2 linked regions of the Drosophila melanogaster genome follow. Changing the gene in region 1 together with any one later gene gives a genetic interaction. Each region holds a gene or a part of one and is shown in the gene's direction. Other genes may lie near its edges.

The links. A genetic interaction does not mean that the proteins touch.
Region 2: of Rab3 (region 1) and Galphaq, changing one suppresses a phenotype caused by changing the other (phenotypic suppression), as found in Drosophila melanogaster (one study listed by BioGRID).

The regions. Positions count from the first base shown.
Region 1 is NT_033778.4:10,726,196-10,730,787, reverse strand, and holds the start of Rab3 (Rab3), read left to right. Parts: upstream 1-1,584; 5' UTR 1,585-2,183; intron 2,184-3,515; exon of another isoform or gene 3,516-3,728; coding exon of another isoform or gene 3,729-4,592. Other genes in the region: Daao1 (D-amino acid oxidase 1), read left to right, coding at 1-114, 180-303, 385-530, 600-1,149; CAH13 (carbonic anhydrase 13), read right to left, coding at 3,729-4,592. UniProt on the Drosophila melanogaster protein: Involved in exocytosis by regulating a late step in synaptic vesicle fusion. Could play a role in neurotransmitter release by regulating membrane flow in the nerve terminal.
Region 2 is NT_033778.4:12,610,934-12,618,781, forward strand, and holds the start of Galphaq (G protein alpha subunit q), read left to right. Parts: upstream 1-1,806; 5' UTR 1,807-1,913; coding exon of another isoform or gene 1,914-1,918; exon of another isoform or gene 1,919-1,946; coding exon of another isoform or gene 1,947-1,951; intron 1,952-2,633; coding exon of another isoform or gene 2,634-2,724; exon of another isoform or gene 2,725-3,412; intron 3,413-4,853; exon of another isoform or gene 4,854-4,896; intron 4,897-4,973; 5' UTR 4,974-5,363; coding exon 5,364-5,481; intron 5,482-5,606; coding exon 5,607-5,791; intron 5,792-5,853; coding exon 5,854-6,008; intron 6,009-6,138; coding exon 6,139-6,267; intron 6,268-6,522; coding exon 6,523-6,651; intron 6,652-6,861; coding exon 6,862-6,991; intron 6,992-7,053; coding exon 7,054-7,207; intron 7,208-7,270; coding exon of another isoform or gene 7,271-7,378; intron 7,379-7,509; coding exon 7,510-7,617; intron 7,618-7,847; coding exon 7,848-7,848. Other genes in the region: Amph (amphiphysin), read left to right, coding at 76-156; CG45086 (uncharacterized protein), read left to right, coding at 1,914-1,918, 2,634-2,724.

The DNA.
Region 1 (4,592 bases):
AGCAAGGGTTTCCGTGATTGCGGATCGGTTTAACGAGGACACCGTCAGCTATGTGGCGGCTGGAATTTTCCGACCTGGAACCAGCTTTATGGGCCCCACCCAGAAAATTACGCAGTGAGAATCTGTTTGGGATTCAAACACACCTGTTGTGCATCTAACGACTTTTCTTTTCATCGTAGACAATGGATGACCGATGCCTTCAACTACTGGGATGAGCTGCGTCGCTCCAAGGAGGCTCCTCTGGCGGGCGTGTGCCAATTATCCGGCTATATTTACTCCCGCACCTCCCCCTCCATCGTACGGGTACGTTGCCGGGCAGTCGACAATCAGTGATTCTTATCTTCATCGGCTTAATTCGATTAACTTTGTTGTTGGCTGCCTTAGAACCACTTTATTGAGAAACTATTGCCCGTCTACCGAAGAGCCACCGAGGAGGAACTGAGGCTATGCAACGGCGGCTGGAAGTACGGATCCTTCTTCACCACATGCCTAACGGAAAGCCGCCTCTTCTTGCCCTATGCCACTAAAAAGTGAGTAGCTGTTTTATGATATGAAAGAGAAACAATTTGAAAATAATCGTAAATATTAACATATTGTAGATTCCTGGAGAACGGAGGAGAGGTTGTCCGTCAGCATGTGAACAGCTTTTTCGAAGTGCCGCAGAACATTGACTTGCTCCTTAACTGCACCGGAATGGGAGCCAAGGAGTTGTGTGGGGACCAGCACTTGGTTCCCATTCGGGGTCAAGTGCTCAAAGTGCGTGCTCCCTGGGTAAAGACGGCTTTCTACGGCGATTACGACACCTACGTTCTTCCCGGATTTGAGACTGTGACCCTGGGAGGATGTCGCCAATTCGACAGCTACAACACCGAGTGGTGCAAATACGATAGCATGGCCATTCGAGAGCGTTGCTACGATTTGCTGCCCAGTCTCCGGAAAGCGGAGATCGTGCGGGAATGTGTTGGTCTGCGGCCACACCGCTCCGTCGTTCGGGTGGAGCCAGAACTGATCACGAATCCGGAAGGCAGGCGGCTGAAGGTAGTCCACAACTACGGCCACGGCGGCTACGGTGTGACCACGGCTCCTGGAACGGCTATGTACGCAGTTCGATTGGTACGCGATCTACTAGCGGGAAACAGTAAACTGTAGGTGGTAAAATCGTTGTTAATTGTTGGTCATTAAACTCTTTATACTCAGAATCTTTGAACCCAGATTTGATTTGGATTTTTTATTGTGCAATAAACTAATTGCAGTTCTCAAGGTTGCGATATGCGCCAGTTCCAAAGGTTTCAAGAAGGAATATTTAGAATATTTAAAGAAACAATTCTTATAAATTTTATTTACTGTTTTTATGAGTTCCTTGGTCTATATTGTTTCAGGATAAGAACATGGGTTCACAAAGTGAACGAATAAATTCGCGCCCACGAATAAATTCAAATGAACCCCTGGGCCAGTGCTCCACAAGGCTGCGGAAGTGCGAAGTGCGCATGACCGGCGCATGAATGGAAAGCTCGCCCGAAATCGCCGCGAAAGCTACGCCCACACACAGACACCCCAGGCACGGAAACCCATCGATTTTCAGCAGCAGGAAAAGCAGCAGGGAAATTGTGTGGGCAGCAGCCAGTCATCCAGTCAGTCAGTTAGCCAGCCAGTCAGCCAGGTTGAAACAGTTGAATTATGAAAACGTATACAAAACTGGCCCGTTTTCGCCGCACCAGTCAATTCGCCGCCTGAGAGCGAAGAAAAAATTGAAAATTGTGTGTCCTTTGGTGTCGACGTGTCGAGGCAAAAAGGTAGAACAGTTGGTGCGTTGCATTTGCTGAATAATTGAGCCACTGCAGCCGGAGTCAGTTCAATTCTGGCCAGACGAGTGGGTCCGCGGGCGTGTGAATAGTTGATTGGGTAACCGTAAACAACTCGACGAATCAATCGACGTGAAATCGCGGCGTATGTCAGTCCAGTGCCAAGGCTGAGTCGAGTCCTTTTCCTTATCCCTTCAGCGAAAGGAGCTGCCATTATCGATTTGTGTGTATGTGCGAGCAACAACACGGCGTACCTCTCACCCACACATCGAAAACAGCAGGATATTCTTGTGACAGCAGGATCTGCAGCAGCACCATCATAAACAGCAACTGAGATATTAGCAGCAGATACTACTGTAACCGCAATAACCTCAAGAAAGAGTAAGTTTATCTGACACATTAAGTATCCGCCATGATGGACCAAAATGGGTGAATGGGGGTACTAGTTCCAGCTAAAACCAAAATACCTGAGTTTTCGCATCAAAAACTTTGCAGTATCAGTTCCATATTGTCAAATAATGAGGCCGTTGGTTGGAATTTATTATTTTTACATTAAACTTCATTGATTTTGACATTATAAAGATTACACATCAACTTTTTAAAAGTATTTAAAAGGTATTTAATAACTCAATGTTACTTTTATAGTAGTTCCAAAAAAACTTCTGATGGATTTCAGCTTAGTGTATCATATCTTATTGACAATAGATATGGGCTATACATACATATGAATGTGGCCAAATAATACATATGTAGTTTTACAACTTCCAGGAAAGAGTTAATTGTTTATTCCCATTGATTGATAACTCGGTATTTATGCACATGCCTAATATTTACGTTTGACAACAAACCTTAAATTGAAACTTTTCCAATTGGAACCGTTAAGGCAGGATTGAGTTCTCGTTTTGGCCAATATTGGGTTTCTTATCAATAATTAAACAAGCCCGCAGCTGCCGACCGCTGAACAGCTGCCAAATCATTGGAAATTTGAAACATGAAAGAGCAGTTAAGGGGGTGGGTAATGGGGGCAGGGTCTGGCAGCCACCCCCACGCAGGGGGAAAACAACAGAAAAATCGATAATTACACGCAGTCGAGCAGATAAAAACATTTCCACACAGCGCCTGTGATAAGGGCCGTCTGCCGTTGAAGACCTCTTATTGCGGCCCCTCTTTGGTGTCTGCGTTTGGGTTTGGGTTTGGGTTTGGGTTCGGGCCCCTCCAGGATATTTCTGGGCCTGAAGAGGCTTGACAGGAGCGAAGCCTGTCCTTTTGCCAGCAAAATCCTTGACGATGACGCGCGCACTCGGTCCTTCTACACCAAGTCGTTCATCAGCAATCTGACAGCGTTTTGCCGCTGCGCAACTTCTGATTCTGGACGGGGGAAATAAGGATGAGCGGAAACGGAACCAGGAGAACCAGGCTATATACACAAATTATCGACACAATGTCGCCGCCTTCATTGCATATGGAAAACAGGCAGCCAACCATCCCGAATGGCAAACTGTAAGCCGAGACTGTTGTCACTTGCCCAAGCCAAGGCTGAAAGTTTTCAAGGCCGCACCAGCCCACCAGCCCACCAACCCGCCGTTCAGCTCTGAAATTCGCTTTGAGTTTTCCCAGTGACGTGACAGGGATAATCAAGTGGGTCCTTTCCCAAGTCAGGCCGCTAAAGCCAACCCCTCCCGCCTACTCCAAGGATTAAAAGTCAAGGGAATTGGGGGGTTATGCTTTAGAAAATATAAACGCAACTTGTTTAATCCACACGCACGCGATTCAATCACTTCCGGGCACAGAGAGAACTCCGGTTGGCCACCAGTTGGCCTTGACCGGTGTTTCATGTGCACCATCTAGCCCCACCGGTTCTTCGTGCAGCATGGACCACAAATGGAGTGTCTATGGATGACATAAAGGTTGATAATAGCACATTAGCTACTCGACCAGCTCCATGCGAATTCCGATGTTGACGCCATCGCCCACGCCGCAAAAGGCATCGGCCTTGCAGCCATTCTGTACACCCATGTTTCTTCCCGTTCCTCTGTTATGGATCATTAGCTCCTCCGGTGTATCCTGATGGATGCCGCACTTGGACTTGGATTCATTGACACCGCTGAATATCACAATGCCAGGATTGCAAAAGTTACCCTGATTGGGAGCCATCATAGGCATCTGAGATGGCTGTTCCAGTTGCCTAGGCGAATCCTTCCGCATCAGCGTAGTCATGCATATGCTAGTGTTGCTGCTACTAGTTATTATGGTCGTGGTATCTATGGTCTCAATTAGCTGACCTTCATCCTCGGAAGCAGCGATGGCCGCCTCGCTTGCTTGCTCCTGCTGAGCTTTCAAGTCGCTTTCCCTTTGCCGCTCCAGTTCGCGCTCTAGTTCCAATTGCTGCTCCTGCTCGATACGTTCCTCTTCGTGCTCCTCCTGAGCTTGAGCCTGGCATAGCTCCACATGCATTCTGGACAACTGGGCGGCATCGTATGGGCAGAAGCAGTTTAGGCTTACAACTCGATTGCCCATGTGCTGGACTGGTCGGCTGTTACGGGCTATGGGCGAGATCCCATCCGGACCTAGGAGCAAACGAAAGTGACGCAGCTGAAAGTCGCTAATGGCTAGGGATTCGGGAAAGATGAACCATTCGGTGCCCTGGTAACAGGGCGGATGGGTCAGCGAACCGCCGTAGGAATAGAATCCAGATCGAAATTGATACATCAAGTAGGATATGGGAAATGGAGAAATCTGGACACGCTTTCCAGGCTTCTGAACCAATCGCAAATTCTGCACCAGGGGATC
Region 2 (7,848 bases), 1.9 Mb from region 1:
TCCCCCTCCGCGCCAAATGCAGATCTCAGCACTTCCTGTCTATATTGAGTTCAGTTCTTTATTGCCAATTTACAGGAGGAAGGCTGGCTGATGGGTCAGAAGGAGGGCACCAACGAGAAGGGACTCTTCCCCGCCAACTTCACGCGTCCCATCTGAAGCGACAAACTGGGGAACAACTGGGCTAGCAACGAACCATCAGCAACTTCAGATCAACCATAAAAATCTTTACGAACGGAGGTCCAAATCCAAATACAAACTTTTGGCCAAATTTTCTTTGTGAGCGCTGCTTTTGCTTTTGTCCAATTAATAAATTCTTGTTTTGTGAAATGTATTCGGTAACTGGCAATCCATTTATAGCGATTGTTCGTTAGGGCAGTGCTTCCAACCATAAAATTGTTATTGTTAACACAAAGAAGAACGAACACACAGATGAGGAATGAGAGAGAGAATATTTTGAAAATGTTTCAAACATTATTTTTTAGTTCTAAGTTTCAAGAAAACCTAAAGCATAAACCTACGTATACATATATTATTTGTTAATCCTATTATTGTGCTCATAATTAATGCGAACAAAACGTATCTAATTTGTAATTTGTTAATGGCAAACCACAAATGTAAAACATATCACTCGAGAGCTAGAGTAATTGTTAAACAAATCAAAAGTCGGAGGAGATAGCCAGCCTGAACCTTTTGTATTTTGTGAATTTTGCAAATATGTAGTACGAGTTTTTTATAGTCAATTGAATGTATTTTTGGGGCGATGCAAAAAGGCCAGATGTAATTCCTCTGTGGTCCCCGAAGTTTTGGAAATTGTTTCAAGTAACAACATTAACGTTTAGCGATTACGTGTATCTTTAATTTGTACTTTGGTTTTTAATTTTTCGTTTGAGAGACTCGAACTAGCTACAGCTTTATAACGCGAACACAATCCAATAGTCACTAACCGATCGATTCGATGTTTTTATTTTATTTAACTCGATTGTAAATCACACGAAACCCGAAATAATTGTTTAAATTGTGCACACACTGTAAAGTTATTATTTTAATTTTATTTAATTAATTTAAACACTTATTTATCGCATGAACATATTGAACAAATGATAATAATTTACAGAAAGCCAATAAAACATAGATTAAATAATACAAGTCTTTTGATTTGGCGGGCAATGTCTTCTGATTTCGAAGATAGAAAGTGCTTGTAAATTTGACGATTGACCGGCGTTTTACGATATTCGCATTTTTTATGTTCTAAATGGTAATTATACACACATATATTTAGTTATTTAAAATTTACGATCATAGTCATTGGTTCGGGTCACAGCTTAACGAATATGGAAGTGCATGGTAAGTGTATTCCCTGTTGTTAGAGAGTGAAAAGGACACAACATTTTCAGTCTTTCCTAAAGCTATCAGGCATTGCCATCCTGAATTATGAGAATATGGCGCACTGCCATCCTTATTTTTAAGGATGTCTGGCGTTGCCATCCTTATTTGAAGGATGTAAGGCGTTGCCAACCTTATTGCTAAGAATGTGTATTGACACACATGAATAGAAATCCGTATGGCAACACCGACATGTGTTGTGGTGGGGGTGGCAACTAAAAAATACCAAAAGTAATATATTTTCAAATTAAGCTGAACTGCCAGGAAATCCGTTTTTATTTGTTATAAACCACTTCTATTAGTTATTATGCGGCAAATAAAACTCCTTCCTTATGTAATACAATGAAGACTTTGATTTAAGAGCATCTATTCCATCATCGATATCTTGCCACCACTAGTTCAAATGCCGTCCGATTGGTTTGACCATCGATATCGACGAACGATAGGGCCGATAGGTTCGGACAAATAACGCCTCCTGCTATCGAAAGTCGGGTCGTGCGTCAACGTTAGCGAAAAATGCAAAATTAAATATGTTGTGAGTAGCGAGCGATGCCAAATCGAATATGTTGTGAGTTTCGAGCAAGATCCCCGTCAAACGGACTCCCCGCCAGCCAGCGGTCGCCATCCGCAGCCGCCTGGCAGCCACCCGAAAAAGTCCCCCCCTCGACAAAAAAAAAATTTAGCAGCACCGAAAACGTTCCCCGAAATGCCAGTGTAAAGTGTATTTTTTCGCCAAACAGTGCTGGCCATTAAGCAAGGCCCCCCCATAATTGTTAAACAAACGGCGAATCGAATCGCGAAATCTTCGAATCGCATTGCTATCAAAATTTTTTCGTTTCGTTAACGCCCTCGCTTATATTTGTGTGTATTCGTTCGTAAAGCAGTGCGCAGCAAGTCGCACTGCTTGCCCGAGAAAAACACTGCGAATAGGAAAAAAGTTGAGAAATTTAAAAAAGAAATAGTTTGTTTAACTCAATGTGGTTTTCTTTTGCCACTAAACGGTGCATGCCAGCGAGAAGTTAGTTGGGGTCGCGTAACTACATAGTGGATTGTGCATATTTTTGGGCTTAAAACGGGTGGGCTAACCAAAAAATGAAAAAAAAAATGGTAGCTGAGGGTCGTGTGTGTTTACCTTAGCCAGTATGATGATGATTTTCCGGAATGCATATTCCCACCTTACCACCCATAATACCACCCCCCCCCCCCATCGTTCTTCTCCTTATCTCTCTGTCTCTCTTCTTTACTTGCAGTTCCACTGCATACAGAAAAATAAACAAATACAAGAAGCATAAAATATGCAGAAAATTAAATACAAAAGGAGCCACTAAGTGTTTCGTGTGAAATCAATTTGAAGACCGCTCGTCGTCGTCGTTGTCGTCGTACATACTTTTCCGTTTCAATTACACTACAATGAATATTTGTTGAAACTTCGTTGCATTTACAGACTGGTGTTTAAAAACAACAACAACAAGAAGAAACGTTAAAAACCAAGAACAACAACAACAACAGCACTCATACACACCGAAAACTAGAAGCAAAAAGGGAAAATTATATATAGATATATATCTACATATATAAATAGTATCGTATCACACATTTACATTAAAAGGAAGCCGAACAGACGTTATCGTAACTTTTATATTAAAAAGCACCAGTAAAAAATATATAACCAACTACACACGTTCCTTAAAAACAAATGTTTTCCAAACCGCAAACCAACTAAAAACGAAATGCTTTTGAAATTAGTTTAAGCTAACTAAAAAACGTAAGACCAACCAACGCACCGCAAAGCAAATCGCGTGATTAAACTAAAAATATTTAAAACAGACCGAACATCGGCAGGGAACCAAAAACAAAAATTAAAAGAACACGATCAATCCGGAAGAACTTCAATCGGCGTACTAAAACCCGAAATTCAATATTTTTTGTATAACATAGTGGTAGCTAAAACAAATCGAGACGATAACCGGAACATCTTTTTGGAGAATCTCGTCTGAATACCTTTAGTCCCGTGTCTCCGTAATGTTAAGTAAGTAATACTGAATGCTCATTGAATACAAGAATCGTAATTTCGTGGTTAATTTTTGACTCCGACCACTTGTTGGTTGCCACTAAAAACTGGCCGAAATATATTATAATCCAAAAATCGAATTATTCTCCAGGCGAGTTTAATGGATTGTCATCCATCTTATTCAAATCCATTCGAATATATTTATTTTGTGTAAAAGCCATGCTTTCATCATAATGAAAGGGTACTTTTGTATCTAAAATATGAGCTCATAAATTCTCCAGCAAAAATAGGCTGAGGATGCGATAAGGAACTGCATGAGTAACGTGAAGCTATTTCCGGCTTAGAAATGGTTTTTCGGAAATGGGTTGCATTAGAACAGTGATTTTCAGAAGAGCAGTAGTCGTCTAAAGATTAAGAAGTCAAATCAAACGTTATCTCAGAGTGGTTTATCATCAGCATATACAATATGTAAGGCAGATAAGACCAGTTCGCGGTAGGTAAATCTCCCTCTGATTTGGTGGCATGATATATCTGGCAAACTATTGTTAAAAAACGCTTCATTGCGCCAATTGCGTGCCCCTGCCCCTGAATTTTGCTGCCACTGCTAATTCGATTTTGTGGCTTTGCTCAGCGAGCAATGTGTTCCGAGTGCAGCCCACTAATCCTCCCGAATACTATGCGTCTAGCCATCATTATCCAGATCTCCATATTCGCCCACCTGAGCCCGCCAAATTCTCCTGGTCAGACTTTTGTCAAAATTATTGCTAGGTATTCCATCGATATTTGGTAGTGGTCATGCTGAAAGCCTTACCTCGACCCATGTCAATGTGTTCGCCAAACGAAATTGGATTAGCCATCACTCGATATATAAACTAGGGGTTGGAAAAGAGAGGAAATAGCACCAGTGGTTATAGGCTATATTCTATAGGCATGCCCTATGCTGAACCCATGAATGAACCGCGGATTCGGGTGGACTCATATCTTTTAACGATAAAAGTACATTAAGAGTTTTAAAGTTTATGCAATGATATTCCAGTTTTGTGTATAGAGCTGTGTTTTTGCATCATAAGTTTCGGTATGTGACTTTTTTATTTCCGAATTAGAATGATATGCCAATTCTTCTTATCCATAGACTGCTTGGTCCACCCAATAGGAGAACACTCTCGCTAACTTGTGGCCAGCGAAGCCATATATTTTCCAAAATCAGCTTTCTTGCATTGAACTTGGCTGAGGGGCATTGTGGGGAACGCTTCCTCAATCTATTGCCACCTGGTAGAGGGCGATCCCAGGTCTGCGCAGAGAGAGCAGGCCCAGAACTTAGAACCAAAGCCAATGCCATGGTCAGAGGAAGTCCCGGGGTAGTCATGGGTAGCCATGGGCAATCTATATCCGACGTCGTCATCGACGTCGCCAGCTAGTGGGGCAGGCTAGCAAATATGAAATGTTAATTGTCAGCACGGGACACAACGCGGCGAACTCTCGTTGGGCCAACAACTGTGGTGGTCCGTAGCAGCAATAGTTGGATAGATCCTACAGTTCGGTTATGCAAGCACTAAATCAAAGCTTTGTCTCCTTGCAGATGTTCTTGGATCGTTCGATGTGGTCTTTGTTCATTAGTAACCATCACTCTCAGCCTCCGAGTCACCGAAATCTGGTCAAGAACTTAGCGTAGACCCGTAATTAGCAATAGCAATAGCCAAAGAGAGCCTGGATCGTAAGCGCTGGAGGAGGTCTGCAGAGCGAGCAAAGCCGAAGTACAAATGCACCAATCGAAACTACAACAGAATCTATAACTTGGAACGGGTGAATTCAACGCCCGCCATACAACCAATTAGCTAGGTGTCCGAGGGTCCAGAGAAGGGAGTCCAGGAGACCATCCCACCATCCAAACAGCATACATTTTATATACGGAACGGTCTGTCGAGCGTAGTGGCAGCAGCACGCGAAAGCGTCTATAAATCTAGTTAGCATGGAGTGCTGTTTATCGGAGGAGGCCAAGGAACAAAAGCGCATCAATCAGGAAATCGAGAAGCAGTTGCGCCGGGACAAGAGAGATGCGCGCCGCGAGCTTAAACTGCTACTACTGGGTAAGTGGAGCATGGCCCATTTCGATTGCACTTAGCCTGGCTTAATGCAATTGAAGCCGCCTCGCTAATTGCATTGTTTGCCCGCCGCTTATGGCTATATATATTTTCCAATCCTATATCCCCAGGCACTGGCGAGTCCGGGAAGTCCACATTCATCAAACAGATGCGTATTATCCACGGCAGCGGTTACTCGGACGAGGACAAGCGTGGGTACATCAAGCTGGTTTTTCAGAACATATTCATGGCCATGCAGTCAATGATCAAGGCCATGGATATGCTGAAGATTTCCTACGGCCAGGGAGAGCATAGTGTAAGTGAAACATTGATCTAATTGAAGTCACTGAATCTTAAACAACATCTTACGATCCACAGGAACTGGCCGATCTGGTGATGAGCATCGATTATGAGACCGTTACCACGTTCGAGGATCCATACTTGAATGCCATCAAAACGCTTTGGGACGATGCTGGCATCCAGGAGTGCTATGATCGTCGTAGGGAATATCAGCTGACTGATTCAGCCAAATAGTAAGTTAACCGTTGGCATGCAAAGGGAACGGTTTAAATCCGTCCGCAAAATGACCGAAAAACGAACTGAAGAGACTGAAACTACCGAAACGACTATGCAAACTAAATCAATTATCTTGTCTATGTATAGTTATCTGAAGGATCTCGATCGTGTGGCTCAACCTGCATATTTACCCACTGAGCAAGACATTTTAAGAGTTCGTGTGCCCACAACAGGGATAATTGAGTATCCCTTTGATTTAGAAGAAATCAGATTTAGGTACATACCATCTTTCTACCCTTACTTCGTTGCATGTGCATGACCTCTTGTTTGGTTATGGTTAAAATTTATTTTGTACTTTGTAACTACACACTTAAGAATTTCTTTAGCGCATGTCTCTTCAAGCAAACAATTCAGGGACTTAGTTAGGGCCTTCAGCGAAATTGATGGACTGAGACGGGTTGCAAAACTATTTTTGCCACTGCTTTTGGTTCCGTTCATTGTTTTAAAAGTGTATTAATTTATCTAATTTAGCTACTTGAGCGATCTAGCTCGAATTGAACAGGCTGATTACTTGCCAACCGAGCAGGATATTCTGCGTGCTCGAGTGCCGACAACTGGCATTCTTGAGTATCCATTCGATTTGGATGGCATTGTGTTTAGGTATCTATTAAAAATATCAATTGGTAATTACCGGCAAGGCTAGTAATGTAAATGGTCATTGTAAAGCTAGTGAAGACGATTTCTTACAATTTAGTTACTAATAGATTCGTTGCTTGCGCTCTAGAATTAAATGCTTGTATGTTTGGCCTTATATGTAGTTAATTTGTTGGTTAACTTTTCTTACAATAATATATTTTTCTTAATAAACAGAATGGTAGACGTCGGTGGTCAGCGATCCGAGAGAAGAAAGTGGATTCATTGCTTTGAGAATGTGACATCAATTATATTTTTGGTAGCGCTATCGGAGTACGATCAAATCTTGTTTGAATCTGATAATGAGGTATGATTTCAAGTTATGAATATATTTTTTTTAAACAAATAATCACCTGTACGCTTTCACAGAATCGAATGGAGGAATCTAAAGCTTTATTTCGTACTATAATTACATACCCTTGGTTTCAAAATTCGTCAGTTATTCTTTTCCTGAATAAGAAGGACTTGTTGGAAGAGAAAATAATGTATTCGCATTTGGTAGACTATTTTCCTGAATACGATGGTAAGTGTTCCGCATGATAAAGGTGGCCATAATTATGTACGATTTTATGCGGCAATGAACCAGGTCCAAAACAGGATCACGCTGCGGCCAAACAGTTCGTTCTGAAAAAGTACTTGGCCTGCAATCCAGATCCCGAACGTCAATGCTATTCGCATTTCACAACGGCCACAGGTGGATTTTCACCTTATGTACTTAAGATCTATGTAATTGCCTTAAATCGCCAATATCATCCGTAGATTATTTGCTAGTTTTCGTAGAACCACGCTAGACGTAACTTCATATTCGCCTTCTTATCGAAACAGGTCCTCAGCGAGATGCAATAACGGCCCGAGAGTTTATACTGCGAATGTTTGTAGATTTAAATCCAGATTCCGAAAAAATTATCTATTCTCATTTCACGTGTGCTACAGGTAAGTTTGCTGCCAGTTCTGTGTTTGGTCAGAAATTGTGTGTGGATGTGATTTTAGTTTTCAGCCTAAAAAGGACTGGTCAAAAGGTAAACTTTTGTGTGAAAAACATTTACATTTGCATATTTGCTTTTGCCGCTGATCTAGAGTAGAGAGTAGTTGTGTATCGCTAGTCAAATTTGCAAACCTAAACGAATTGATTTCTAATAAAACAACGATCTCTTGGTAAACAGA